Stegostoma tigrinum: one gene and its partner. The protein of the gene in region 1 purifies or fractionates together with the protein of each later gene. This does not show direct contact. Links are inferred from orthologs where the notes say so. Each region holds a gene or a part of one and is shown in the gene's direction. Other genes may lie near its edges.

Region 1 (7,177 bases):
GCAATAAATGCTGCCTGGCCAATGACACCCTCATCCTGTGAATGAATAAAAAAAAACCTTTCCACTGGCAATCCATTCCAAACACACTCCACCCTCTGTGTGTTAAAGTTGCCCCTTACATCCCTTTTAAATCTTTCCCTTCTCACCTTAAACCCAGCCCGTCTAGTTTTGGAATCCCTGCCGTAAGAAAAAGACATTGGTTAGTCAGCCTATCCACACCCCTCATGATTTTATAAACCTCGATAAGAGCCGTCTCAGCCTCCGCTACCCCAGGACCATTGACTCCTGTAAGAATTTTGGATGCTTCACAATCCTGGTGTCCTTTTTGACCAGCCAAAGAATTACTTCCATATTATAATGTCCCTTAACATCCCCATGCTTCAGCCCATGAAACCTTCATCCATAGGTCAGTTACCTCCAGATGGATATTGCAATACCCTGGCTGACCTCCTATGATTGTAAACTTCAGCTCACCTACCCGTGTCCGATCTCACACCAAGTAAAATTGACCTTCTATCCTGACCTAACAAACCTGTTTTATTTAAATAATGAATTGAGTTTAAAACTGCTATCCTTAGTTTCAATTCTGTCAATAGCTTCTGCGTTCCCTATTTCTGAATCTCAACATTTTTAATTGTCACTCCTGAACTTAAAAGAGATCTTTGGGGAGAGAAATCCAGATTTTCACTCCTCTTCATGTGAAAACGAGTTTCCTGACATTGCATCTGAAGGACCTGGCTCAAATTTTAAGATTATGCTCCTTCAGTCTGAGTTAACATTTTAGGTTCAGTAACCCTTTCTGCACAACATTCTGAAGAAAGGTCACTGGCGCCAAAACATTAGCTCTACTTTCTCACCACAGATGCTGCCAGACCTGCTGTGTTTTTCCAGCTTCTGTTGTTAAGGTGATCCTTATTTCTCTTCTGGTCAGCACACTGCTTCAGTCATCTTTCTCTAGATGCTTCCACTGGGTAGTAAGAGGCACAAAAGTGGTTGGTTCACTCAAAGTATTTGACTTTTCAGTTAAATCTCACATCTTACAACAACTATTGAATAAAAACCGAAAGAGCTGCGGACGCTGTAAGTCAGGAACAAAAACAGAGTTGCTGGTAAAGCTCAGTATATCTGGCAGCATCTGTGAAGAAAAATGTCAGAGTTAATGTTTAGGGTCTAATTACCCTTTCTCAGAACTGATGGGAGCTGGGAAAATGTCAGTGTATATGCAGGAAATAGGGACGGGGTGGGGTATAGAGAAAACAATAGGATAGAGCTGAAAGAGAGAGATGAACAGTTGGACAGATAAAGGAGTTGATAATGATCTGGTTAGGAGGGTCAATAGTTGTTAATGGGGACTGTTAGTGACAAACAACAGGCTGTGTGTAATGGCAGGCTATGTGATAACAGGGCCTGATGTGTGAGGTAGGGGGCAGGGACATGGGAGAGTTTAGACCCTGAAATTATTGAACTCGATATTGAGTTAGGAGGGCTGCAGGGTCCCCAAGCGGAAAATGAGGCGTTGTTCTTCCAGCTTGCGCTGAGCTTTGCTGAAACACTGTAGGAAACAACTATTGAAGGTCATGTTCTTCACGTTTACAGGGAGTTTTAACTGCAAAGAAAATAACAAGCTACTCCTCCCAGCTGGGGAAAAACTGAACACTTCTCTCTTTCTGTAACTTATTCCCAGTTCTAAGTTGTTACCTGTTAGCAGCAAAAATGCCTCTGTCATCAATAACAGTTTACTAGTCCATAGATTAACCAAATTCTTGTTGCCAAAAGTTGCATCAGCACTGTCCTCAGCCTCAAATCATTGAATCTGATAAAAGAGAATCCCTACTGCATGTAAGCAACCTATTTGGCCTATCAGGTCCACACTAGCATTCTGAAGAGCATCCCACCCAGGGGCACCCAGCCCCATCCTTGTAACCTGCATTTCCTATTAGCCTTAAATCCCTGGACACTATGGGCAATTTAGCAGTTTAGTTTCAACCTGCACATCTTTGGATTGTGGGAGGAAACCCTTCAGAGATTGTGCAAACTACAAGGCAGCCACCTGAGGGTGGAATTGAACCCAGATCCCTCGCATTATAAGGCAGCAGTGCTAACCACTGAACTATCATGCTGCTCTCCCAAACTTCAATTACTGCTTGTTCAACAGTTATTTACACAATGCCTACAATAGTTATTTATTTTCAAAATATACTACCCTTTCAAACATTAATTTTAAAACAACTGTCATTTCAGTCCACAGTATTTTAAAAACAAACACAAAATTTTAAAAAAAGTGATATTGACAGTGAATACTAGTTGTAATTCACAGTATATTTTGATTGCAATCAGTCTTTTACTAAATTTGACTTCTACTGGGATCCTTCCCTTTCCTCAGTTACTCCTCTGTCATGTGATTGATGTATTTGTTGGTCTCTCCCTGCACAGATATTTTTGGAAACTATTGTTCACATGAACAATTTTAGCAAGTATGGTCAGTAGCTATCATTAGTGTGAATTCCTCGTGTGAGGCTGATTTCTTCTCATACTTGCTCCTTCTAATACCTGAAACAGAATACAAATAATGAAACTATCATAAAGTGTTGAAAGATAACCTATGTGAGTTGCTAATGTCCTTTAGGTCTGGCCCATATAAAATTTCGAAATTGCAGCAATGCGGTTGATTCTTTACTGCACTCTGAAATGGTCTAACAGACCATTCAGTTTAAAGGCATTTAGAGATGGACAACTAATACTTGCCTTGCCAGTGACTCCCACTTCTTTTGGAAGAATAATACAAATTTGGGTACATGCTGGCTGTTCAGTTAACTATTGGAATGATGCATGTCTGTTGTACTTGCCTTGTTTTATAAAGATCTATCAGACTTAGACTTGGAGATAGCAAGAACTGCAGATGCTGAAGGCAGAGAAAACACATTGTGAAGCTAGGGGAACACAGCAGGTCAGGTAGTATCAGAGGAGTAGGAAAATTGATTTTTCGGGTCAGGGCCCTTCTTCAGAACTCTTAAAGGGGTTCCAACCCAAAACATCAACTTTCTGATGTTGCCTGACCTGCTGTGTTCCTCCAGTTCCACATTGTGTTGTCTCAGATTTACACTTGACAGGACTTGAACCCTTCAGGACTCAAGAGCCATGTAAGTCATCTTAGTACAAAAGTAAAATATTGCAGATGTTGGAAAACTGAATTAAAAATTGTCAAATGTTGGCTAGGCAGCATCAGTGGTGCAAAAGATGCTGGCTGCCCTGAATAAAAGCATGCTGTTAATTCCACTAATATTCAGGAGAATGGTTTCAGCATTTTAGTTCCAATTCCTGTCAGTAAGAAATCACTGCAAGTACTTGGACTGAAAAATGACCTGATCTATACTAAACTGGAGAGTTAGATGAGCTGAAAGCATGATTGAGTATGCACCCACAATGCCTTGAGGCAGTGCATCCAAATCCTAACCATTTTCTACACAAAAAGGGGTTTCACTTTTTTGTTGCTTTTCTGCCGATCATCTTGTCTTGGTATTCTCTGGATCTCGACCTTTGTACGAGTTTCAAGTCTCTATCTACCTTGACTAGTTCCCCTCGTTATTTGTGAACACTTTTATCTAATCTCTCAACCTTCCCTAGGATGGGAAGTACTTTTTGAAGTGTAGGTTTTCTCCTGCTGTTCTGTTCTTCCTGCCAAAGGGACGAGTTCACATTTTCACGCATTAGACTCCATCTGCCAAAGGGAGGTAGTTGCTCTGAGATCTTTCACATCTGCAAGATGTGTCAGCTCTGATAGTGCTGGATGTGGACTGTCAACCTCGATACAGTGGGCCTCCTAACGTGTCAAAAGTCGCCTTTAGAAAGCAGATTTTGGATTTTATATAAAATCTGCGAAGACTGCATCAGTTATGGGCTCAAGACTCTGGATTGGGTCTTGAACCTATCAATTCTCCTGTTTCCGACGCAACATAATAGCCACAGAAAAAATTATTTTTAATAAACTTCACAACAAGACGTCGACGGGATCCATAAACTGCCGGCTGCTGTCACCCAAATAACATCCAGCGCCATACTGCAAGCAGTGTCCGTTTTTTTTGGGGGGGGGAGGCATAGAGTGGCGGACCGGCGGAAGTGTGTCCGTGGGGGGAGGTATTGAGTGGCGGACCGGCGGAAGTGTGTCCGTGGGGGGAGGTATTGAGTGGCGGACCGGCGGAAGTGTGTCCGTGGGGGGAGGTATTGAGCGCCGGGCCGCCATGGAGGTCGCTCCTGGTCCAAGGAGAGCCGGTAAAAATGATGATAAAGATAAAGGTAAATGAAGAATTGGAGGAGGTCAGGTCTGCGGCGGGGTTGGGGAGGATTTCTGAACCAAAAAAAAACATACAAAGAGTTGTGGAAATCTGAAGTAAAAACCAAATTGCTGGAGAATCTGAGGTAACAAGGTGTAGAGCTGGAGGAGCCGAGCAGGAAGGCTGATGGTTCGGGCCTCGACCCACCTTCAGAAACTGAGCTCGAGGAGCTCACCAGGTTTCTGGCAGCATCTGTGGTGAGAGAAACAAAGTTAGTGTTTCGGGCCCAGTGACTCTCCTTCGGAATTTCAGTGATTTCTGTTTTTGTTGGGGATTTCTGAAGCCGGCCTGGCCTTGGGGGAGGCTCCATTTGTGGGTTAGGTTGGGTCCGGGGCGGGGGGGATGCGTAGACCCGGTGGACGAAGATTTTGTGAAGTCTTTGTTGCCGTTTACTTTATCCTGATTCGGAAGTTGATTCCTGAAATGTTCCTGAGCAGAGTCACTCGTTTTAACGAGCTTCTCCATCACTCCGCGACCTAAACTGCTGCCAAACCAGGTTTCCGCTTAAAAATTACCCTCATTTGTCACTATACTTACTGTCCAGATCCTAAAATTTTTGATCTTGTCGTGCTGGCATTGATATTTCTCACCATCACTTTAAATAAGTGCCCTTATTTAAAGGGGACAATTTCTTCAATTTACCCTGCCCAGACTGCTCTTGAATTTGAACACCTTGGTGAAATTTCTCCTCAACTTAACAGCCTAAGCATTTCCAGTCTTTATTCATTATTCTTCATGAGCAGGTACCATTGGTAAGGCCAACGTTTGTTGCACCTCCTTTGAATTGCTTGAAGTAGTATATGAATCAGAACAGGAGTAGGCCATTCAGCTATTCAAACCTATTCTGCCATTTAATGAGATCATAGCTTTCTGATTGAAACCTCATTCACATTCACAGTTACAACTGACAGCCTTTCAATTCCTTGCAGAACAACAAACTCTCTACCTCTATCTTAAAAATAGTCAAGGAATCTGCTTCACTGCCTTTTCAGGAAGAGAGTTCTGGCGAGACATGACCTCTGAGAGGCCAGTTAAGAATCGACCACATTACTCCAAGGCACATGTAGGCCTGATTGGGTAAGGATGTTAGTGAACCAGATGTGTTTTTACAACAATTGATTAGTTCTCTGGTCACCATTACTGAGACCAGCTTATAATTCCAAATATAACTGCCGAAATTTAAATTCCACCAGGTGCCACTTCGGGATTTGGGCCCATGTCACCAGCACACTGGCCTAGGTCTCTGGATCACTAACCCAGCGATTTAACCGTGACATCACCATCTCCACAGCGCCCCCCCCCCCCACCCAGCTGAATTTCTTCATCCATGAAATCATTCTCATTATTTTTTCCAAACCCTTCACTTCTATTCCAGAACGTGATGCTGAGGATAGGCCATTATACTCCAGTTAAAAGGGAACCAGTGTTTTATAGTGGTTTATCAAAAGTCATGCCAGTGTCAAGACTTCCCATGATAGCCTCTAATGAAGAACCTGCCATCAAAACCACCTTGCTTTTATATTCTGTCTCTCTTATGATTGGCCAAATGGCTTCCTTCTGTGCCATAACTATTATGTGATCATTTGTTCAGTGCGTGTTAATTTTGCCCAGGATTATCAGTTCTAAACTCGTTCCCATCACTCACTTTAAACTGACTGGTCTGTTGTCACTAGATTTATCTTTTACATCCTTTTTGAGCAAGGGTGCAACAGTTGCAGTTATCCAGTATACCTCTGAGATACTCCAGTATTTGTTGAGGTTGAGATTATGGCCAATATCACCTCAGTTTTCTCCACTACTTCCATCATCTATGGATGCATCCTCGTGACTTACCACCTTTTCATCCTTTCTTACTGCATCTCTTTGTCAACATCTGTACGTATCCACGATCCTGCTTAACTCCTCTTTCACTATGACTTTACTAACAGCATCTTCCTTGATAAAGACTGATTCAAAGTATTCTTAGCATTCGTGCTTTAATCCTTAATTAGGTTTTACTCTTCTTACACTTTTACTGCTTGTGTACTTATCAGAAACTTCTGGATTCTTTTCTTTTTCGTTAATTACTAGTTTTTACTTTATTCAATCTCTTTGCTGCACTTCTTTTCTCACTTTACATCTAAACTTTCTAAAATTATCCTGATTTTCACTTCTGTTATTAACCTGATAGTTGTTATGTCATTTTCCGATTGTCAATCTTTTGTAAATTGGGGCCTCTCACTTTTTTTGTACTACTGGTTGGCCCTTGTGGTAATGTGCCACTGGACTGTGTTTTTCTCATCTTTAAGGACAACCCATTGCTACATTGAAGTTTTGCATGCAAATCATTAATCCTAGTTTGTCTGATTTGTATCTGTTCTTGACCCACTGAAACTGTCCCTTGTCCAATTCAGTGTTTATATTTTTAATTGCTCCAGTTTGAACATTTTAATACTATGATTGTGGTTCTCCAAAAGTTCCCTAACTGACATTTGCCCCGACTTATTTCCTGAAGAGTACAGTTGAAGAATCGTACAATACAGAAGAAACTCCATAGCCCATTGAGTTTTCCCAAACACATTTCTGAAATTCTCTTCCCACTCTGCCTTTACTGTCCTCATCTACATGAGGATCAATAATATCCCCTATTACAGGGCTTCTTAAATGGGGTTTGGCACCTTGAACAAAATCATGAGTTCAGGTAGCAATGACCTACATCACTGATCTACACTCTCATTGGTCTTCTCCTCCTCCCTCCTTGCCCACCCCCTACAGCCCACTGAGTCAGATGATCATTTTTAAGCCTTGAAATGGGATCACAGTCGGAATTGGCATTGGAAGCAATGCTTCAGTACAATGACTTCATT
Region 2 (7,805 bases), on another chromosome or scaffold:
TTGACAATGGACTAGAATTCCAGAGACCTAGGCTAATATACACAGGATAAACTCCATCCCTGGCAACTGGTGCCATTTAAATTTGAATTAATACATTTGGAATTAGTCTTAGTAATAGTGACCCTGAAATTAATTTTGTTTGCTAATTATTAAAAACCCAAGATAATAAAATGTGAGGCTGGATGAACACAGCAGGCCAAGCAGCATCTCAGGAGCACAAAAGCTGACGTTTCGGGCCTAGACCCTTCATCAGAGAGGGGGATGGGGGGAGGGAACTGGAATAAATAGGGAGAGAGGGGGAGGCGGACCGAAGATGGAGAGTAAAGAAGATAGGTGGAGAGGGTGTAGGTGGGGAGGTAGGGAGGGGATAGGTCAGTCCAGGGAAGACGGACAGGTCAAGGAGGTGGGATGAGGTTAGTAGGTAGCTGGGGGTGCGGCTTGGGGTGGGAGGAAGGGATGGGGGAGAGGAAGAACCGGTTAGGGAGGCAGAGACAGGTTGGACTGGTTTTGGGATGCAGTGGGTGGGGGGGAAGAGCTGGGCTGGTTGTGTGGTGCAGTGGGGGGAGGGGATGAACTGGGCTGGTTTAGGGATGCAGTGGGGGAAGGGGAGATTTTGAAACTGGTGAAGTCCACATTGATACCATATGGCTGCAGGGTTCCCAGGCGGAATATGAGTTGCTGTTCCTGCAACCTTCGGGTGGCATCATTGTGGCAGTGCAGGAGGCCCATGATGGACATGTCATCAAGAGAATGGGAGGGGGAGTGGAAATGGTTTGCGACTGGGAGGTGCAGTTGTTTGTTGCGAACTGAGCGGAGGTGTTCTGCAAAGCGGTCCCCAAGCCTCCGCTTGGTTTCCCCAATGTAGAGGAAGCCGCACCGGGTACAGTGGATGCAGTATACCACATTGGCAGATGTGCAGGTGAACCTCTGCTTAATGTGGAATGTCATCTTGGGGCCTGGGATGGGGGTGAGGGAGGAGGTGTGGGGACAAGTGTAGCATTTCCTGCGGTTGCAGGGGAAGGTGCCGGGTGTGGTGGGGTTGGAGGGCAGTGTGGAGCAAACAAGGGAGTCACGGAGAGAGTGGTCTCTCCGGAAAGCAGACAGGGGAGGGGATGGAAAAATGTCTGGGGTGGTGGGTGTCGGATTGTGAATGGCGGAAGTGTCGGAGGATAATGCGTTGTATCCGGAGGTTGGTAGGGTTCACCTGCACATCTGCCAATGTGGTATACTGCATCCACTGTACCCGGTGCGGCTTCCTCTACATTGGGGAAACCAAGCGGAGGCTTGGGGACCGCTTTGCAGAACACCTCCGCTCAGTTCGCAACAAACAACTGCACCTCCCAGTCGCAAACCATTTCCACTCCCCCTCCCATTCTCTTGATGACATGTCCATCATGGGCCTCCTGCACTGCCACAATGATGCCACCCGAAGGTTGCAGGAACAGCAACTCATATTCCGCCTGGGAACCCTGCAGCCATATGGTATCAATGTGGACTTCACCAGTTTCAAAATCTCCCCTTCCCCCACTGCATCCCTAAACCAGCCCAGTTCATCCCCTCCCCCCACTGCACCACACAACCAGCCCAGCTCTTCCCCCCCACCCACTGCATCCCAAAACCAGTCCAACCTGTCTCTGCCTCCCTAACCGGTTCTTCCTCTCCCCCATCCCTTCCTCCCACCCCAAGCCGCACCCCCAGCTACCTACTAACCTCATCCCACCTCCTTGACCTGTCCGTCTTCCCTGGACTGACCTATCCCCTCCCTACCTCCCCACCTACACCCTCTCCACCTATCTTCTTTACTCTCCATCTTCGGTTCACCTCCCCCTCTCTCCCTATTTATTCCAGTTCCCTCCCCCCATCCCCCTCTCTGATGAAGGGTCTAGGCCCGAAACGTCAGCTTTTGTGCTCCTGAGATGCTGCTTGGCCTGCTGTGTTCATCCAGCCTCACATTTTATTATCTTGGAATCTCCAGCATCTGCAGTTCCCATTATCTCTGATACTATTAAAAACCCATCTGGTTTCTAAATAAAAAAATGTCATTCTAACCTGGCTTGGCCTATAAGTTATTTCAGACACACAATGGTCAACTCTTAACTGCTCTCTGTAATGCTCTCACAAGCCACTTACTCCGAGGACAATTAGGGATGGGCATCAAATGTCCCTGAAAGAATAAAAAATAAGACACTCTCCTTGCTTTTTGGGTGCAATCAACAGTATCCAGTGATGGTTCAGATTCCTCAATCTAAGGCTGCCTGACACCACATTTCAAGGGTAAATGGGATGAATTGGTGGTCTTCTGTAAAGAGAGTACCAGAGTCATCCTGGATACATTTATGAGTTGAGAATTTGATTTTTCATTAAGATGCCCAGTAGATCCCTGAAGACTGAGGTTATCCAATCTCCTTGAAAGAATAAAAGAACAACTTATAATCTAAATGAAGAGAAACTTCAAAATGCTTTGGAGCAGAGAGATCTGGGTGTCTGAGGTTATCCACTTTGGTCACAAAAACAGGAAGGCAGATTATTTTCTGAATGGTGGCAGTTTAGGAAAAGATGGGGTGCAACAGGGCCTTCGTGTCACAGTGGAATGGTCGCTGAAGTTTGGCATGCAGGTGCAGTAGGCAATGAGCAAAGCTAATCACATGCTGACCTTCATAGTGAGAGGATTTGAGTGTCAGAGTAAGAACGTCTTGCTGCAGTTATAGAGAGCCTTGGTGAGGCCACACCTAAGTACTGTGTGCAGTTTTTGTCTCCCAGTCTGAGGAAGGACATTCTTGCTTTTGAGGGAGTCCAGCGAAGGTTCACCAGACTGATTCCCAGGATGGCAGGACTGACATATCGAGGAAAGACTGGATTGATTGGGCTTGTACTCACTGGAATTTAGAATAATTGGGGGGGGGGTGGGGAAATTCTCATAGACATATAAAATCCTGATGTTACTGGACAGCCTAGATGTGGGAAGAATGTTCCTGATGTTGGGGAAGTCCAGAACTAGAGATCATAGACTAAGAATAAGTGGTAAGCCATTCAGGACTGAGATGAGGAAGAAGTTCTTCACTCAAGAGTTGTGAGCCTGTGAAATTCTCTCCCAGTTGGGGCCAGTTCATTAGATATATTCAAGAGGGTGCTAGACATGGCCCTTGCTGTTAAAGGGATCAAGGGCTATGGAGAGAAAGCAAGTTTGGGACACTGAAATTGCATGATCAGCCATGATTATATTGAAAAGTGTTGCAGACTCAAAGAGCTCAATGGTCTACTCCTATACTTACCTTCTATGTAATAAGTAGGATAAATGGAATTTAGGCAATTACTGTGCAAGAAATGGGGTATAAAAGCAGGGAAGTGTTATTGTAATTGTCCAAGGCAATGATGAGATTACATCTGGAGTGTGGAGTACAAAAAGAACTTAACCTCTTTAACAAGTGCTAGCCGTGCTTCTAGAATTCCTAGTTTAATTGCGGAACCCTCTACATTCTCAGTTTCCATATTGCAGATTCTCTATGCACCTGAAATAATCTGATAAAGGTGGCTAATATCTTGATAAATGCCTGATCAAATCGCTTCTCACCATGTCGCCCACACTCATAAAAAAGGGCCTAAGGCAGCCATTCACTCTGCAACTATGCAGTAGCAACATGAGTAGAATTCTATCAAACAAGTGACTATGGTGGTGTACGATTTCCAGTGTCAGTATGATGTAATGTTATGTAGGTCAAAGATTCCAAAGGCTGACAGGTCATATCAAACAGTACATCATTTTGTTGCTTGCAGGAAGCAAGTTACAATACATCGTACAAGACATTGGTAGGGCCACAGTTGTAGTATTGCATACAATTCTAGGGTAAAAAATATAAAAGATGTTCCTGAGACTGTAAGGTTTGAGTAGAGAGTCTATGACAATTTTCCCCTGGAGCATAGGACACTGAGGGATGATTTTATAGAGGTTTAGAAAAATCATGAGGGGTATAGCTAAGGTGGATAGCCAAGGAAATTTTCATGAGAGTAGGAGAGTCCAAAACAAGAGCACACAGGGTTAAAAGTGAGACAGCAAAGACATAAAAGGGACCGGAAGGGCACCTTTTCCCCCCCACACAGTGGATGGCAGGTATATGGAACCAGCTGTCACAAGTTGTGGTAGAGTACAATTACATTTTTTTAAAAACTGAAGTACCTGAATAAGATAATAAAATGTGATGCTGGATGAACACAGCAGGCCAAGCAGCATCTCAGGAGCACAAAAGCTGACGTTTCGGGCCTAGACCCTCCATCTCTCACATTTTATTATCTTGGAATGCTCCAGCATCTGCAGTTCCCATTATCTCTGATACCTGAATAAGAAGAGTTTAGAGGGATATGGGCCAAATAGGACGAGTTCGGTTTAGGAAACCTGGTCGGCATGAACGATCACGGATAACAAAGTGCGGAGCTGGATGAACACAGCAGGCCAAGCAGCATCTCAGGAGCACAAGAGCTGACATTTCGGGCCTAGACCCTTCACGAAACATCAGTTTTTGTGCTCCTGAGATGCTGCTTGGCCTGCTGTGTTCATCCAGCTCCGCACTTTGTTATCTTGGATTCTCCAGCTCTGCAGTTCCCATTATCTCTGATCACAAATGGATCTGTTATTACAGATGCTCCAAATCACAAACCCTCAAAATCAGGGGGCCGCTTTTTATCGCTTACCCCTCCCTACACAGTGTGACTTCCACGGAAATTACTTCCGGATTCACTGATCCATTACTGCGCCTGCGCGATATGTAGGTGCCTAAATATGTCGCCAAGAGATTCGAACCTGAATCTCATTGAAAAGCTTCTGCGATATAATCTCATGCTGAGGTTTTATTTTAGCAGAATGATTTGATGATACTGGCTGTTTCCTGCTAGTGGGCATTTCCATAGCCACCCCGCTTTCCCGCCCCCGCCCCCAAAACCAATGTGTGGGTCCTCATCGTTCACATGCTGTGTTAAGATGGCGGATCTTCAAATGAAAATTATCCGCAAAAAGTTGCAAAAGAAAAACGCCAAAATTAAACGGATCAATTCAGCGGTGGGAGAAAAAGGTGAGTGTGAGGCGGGCAGAGGGGGCGAGTTGAGGTTGAAAATCTTAATGTGAGTGAATGTGAGCTTGCCTTCATGGTCACACAGCATGGAAACAGAGACTTGGGTCCAACCAGTCTTTGCTGACTATGTTCCCAAACTAAACTTGTTTCACGTGCCTGCGCCTGGCCCTTTTCCCTTCAAACCTTTCCTATTAATGAATTTATCCAAATGTCTTTTAACCGTTTTAACTATCCCTGTGTTCACCACTTCCTCTGACAGTTCATTTGCAAGTTCGAACCACTCTTTTTGTGTTTAAAAAAAAGTAGCCCCTCGTGTCCTTTTTTTAAATCTTTCTCCTCTTACCTTAAATATATACCCTTTGTTTTGAACTTTCCCACCTTAAAGTCTTTGCTACTCATTTATGTTATTTGTGATTTTATATCACCCCTCAACCTCCCAGCCCCCCCCCCCCCCCCCGTGGAAAAAAATCCCAGCCTATCTTTATAACTCAAGCCCTCCATTCTTGGCAACTTCCAATAAATCTTTTCTGAACCCCTTCCAGTTTAATAATACCCTTCCTATAACAGACCTGCACACAGCACTCTAGAAGCGGCATCACTTAACATCCCTTGCAACCGCAACATGATGTCCCAACTTCTTTAGTCAATGGTCTGAGCAATAAATGCCTTCTTAACTGCCCTGTCAAATCTTAAAGAATTATGTACCAGAATCCTTCGGTCTCTGTTCTACAACTCTACCCTGGGCCCTACCATTAATGTGTAAGTTCTCTGCTCATCAGCTCTCACTACCAGCCCACCCTGTTCACTCCCAACTTGTTCCTGCATTTGCTCACCCCTCCCCCAAATCACCTTCTCCACATTCACTCCCCACCCTCACCACTCCATTCACCCTTCAGATCAGCCATGTTCTTGTTCAGTGGCAGAGCAGACTATATTTCAAAAACAATGTTACTTGTGGATTGTAAAGTAATTTGGAATGAGCTGAGATCAGTGAAAGAGCAGTGCAAGATTTTATGCTGTTTGTGGAGTTGGTTCATTTATATTTAAATTGTAGTTCCATAATATCAGAATTCTAGATTGTTTGTTTACCTCTAACCAAGTAAAAGTTCTGACTCTGTGTACGACTCTGATGCATGCACCTGGTCTGAACTTGGACTGTATATGAACAAATTAAGTTTTCTGTTGACAGTGGTCAAACAAAAGAATGTGGAAAATGAAACACTGCAAGAGTCAATAGGTGATCAAGAAAGCACTCCAAAAGAATTGAAAGAAGAACAAAGGCTTACGAAGGATGAAAGCGAACAAAAACCAGTATCAAATATCAAAAAGAAAAACAAAAGAAAGCTTGCAACTAAAATTCAGGAAACTGGTAAATTTGCTTTGAGTACTTTAGTAATGCACGTGCAGTAGTTTGTCAGATTTGAGTACAGCTGGAGTATTGGTGAAAATATAAGCTGGTGGAGCTTTTCATTTTGCATTCATTGAGATAGAATACCAAATTTCAGTGGTGGAAAAAGACATTTTATGCTACATGAGAAACATCAACATGTGCAAATGCTGAGGCCCTGATTGCCAATGAAGCTAATTTGTAGTACATAGAGATGCTAGAATCATAAAGTGTATTTTGACCAGTGAAGGTGGGCTCGTGGTTCTGTGCTTTTCAAATTTTTTTTTTTCCCCCACTGTGACCTGTTTCACAGTTTGAAAGTTATGACATGAACCTGGTTGGTGTTGAGGAACTGAGAGTCAGAAGAAGGGGTCTCAGTTTTTCAGGGATTATTACAATCCTATCTTTTCACTTGCTTTTTTGTTGGGAAAAGAATTGGGTGCCGAAAAGCTCTGTTAGGCCATGCCCATGATTTCAATGACAGGATTTAAGATGGACTCACAGCCGGTGTTCCCTCTAATTAGTTCTCTTCTGCATGGACTCCCTGAATCCGTGTGCAACATCAGTCCCTAGAGCCAGAATTCCATGCTGCAGTCTGCGTCACCACCACAATCACAGTGTGTGGAACATCACAGTTGTTAAAGGAAATGTTGTTCAGAGCTGTTAACACTTGGCCTGAAGCTTCATGGCAGGCGTTGCTGGTTGAAGCTCATTACCCCAGAGATTGGGATGCCTTGTGGTAAATCGTAGAGAATCCATTAGTGGATTTCGCAATTACGACATACAGAAATAGAGTCTGTTAGACTGCTCCATTTCAAACATGAAATTGTGCCCATTAAGGTGTGTGTAGATTGCAGATTCAAATATAACAAATTTATTAGAAACGTGCAAGAAGCAAGTGTTATTCCACCGAAACAACTAGTTTTTTTTTGCAAGCTAACTCAAATTTTAGTAATGGCTAGCACTAAAGATGATTCTATGACATTAGTTCAGGCACATATTGTGTTGAAGCTGAAATCAACTGTGTAGGTATCTCGGTTCATAAATTCAGTTAGCACAGATTCAGGCAGTGACGGCATGTCTAGATATGCTAGGATATGGTGTTGCCGCCTAAATGCCTTCGGCTTCCTTGAGCGGCACATTAGTGAATGTGCTAGCAGTGTCCACTGAGCACATGGATGTGGTATTGCTTTCGATATGTAGGTCTACTGTAGTTTTGTGGTGAAGACATCATCTTCATGTATTTGGAAAAGTTGCTCAGAACTGGTTGTACCAAGTCACTTAATTTAGCCAATTTATGAGCAATAATTGCTATCCTAGTTAGTAATACTACTATCCCATGCACAAATTGAAAA

Evidence for each region. Proteins that work in one complex are often made in the same cells at the same time.
Region 2: the proteins of krr1 (region 1) and ddx18 purify together in Homo sapiens (affinity purification with mass spectrometry; 3 studies listed by BioGRID and IntAct, with this or other methods). This does not show direct contact. The link is inferred for Stegostoma tigrinum from reciprocal best matches to the Homo sapiens genes KRR1 and DDX18.

Annotation. Positions count from the first base shown.
Region 1 is NC_081371.1:47,150,040-47,157,216, reverse strand, and holds the start of krr1 (KRR1 small subunit processome component homolog), read left to right. Parts: upstream 1-4,171; 5' UTR 4,172-4,238; coding exon 4,239-4,293; intron 4,294-7,177. UniProt on the Homo sapiens protein: Part of the small subunit (SSU) processome, first precursor of the small eukaryotic ribosomal subunit.
Region 2 is NC_081360.1:68,634,388-68,642,192, reverse strand, and holds the start of ddx18 (ATP-dependent RNA helicase DDX18), read left to right. Parts: upstream 1-4,789; 5' UTR 4,790-4,936; coding exon 4,937-5,063; intron 5,064-6,252; coding exon 6,253-6,432; intron 6,433-7,805. UniProt on the Homo sapiens protein: ATP-dependent RNA helicase that plays a role in the regulation of R-loop homeostasis in both endogenous R-loop-prone regions and at sites of DNA damage.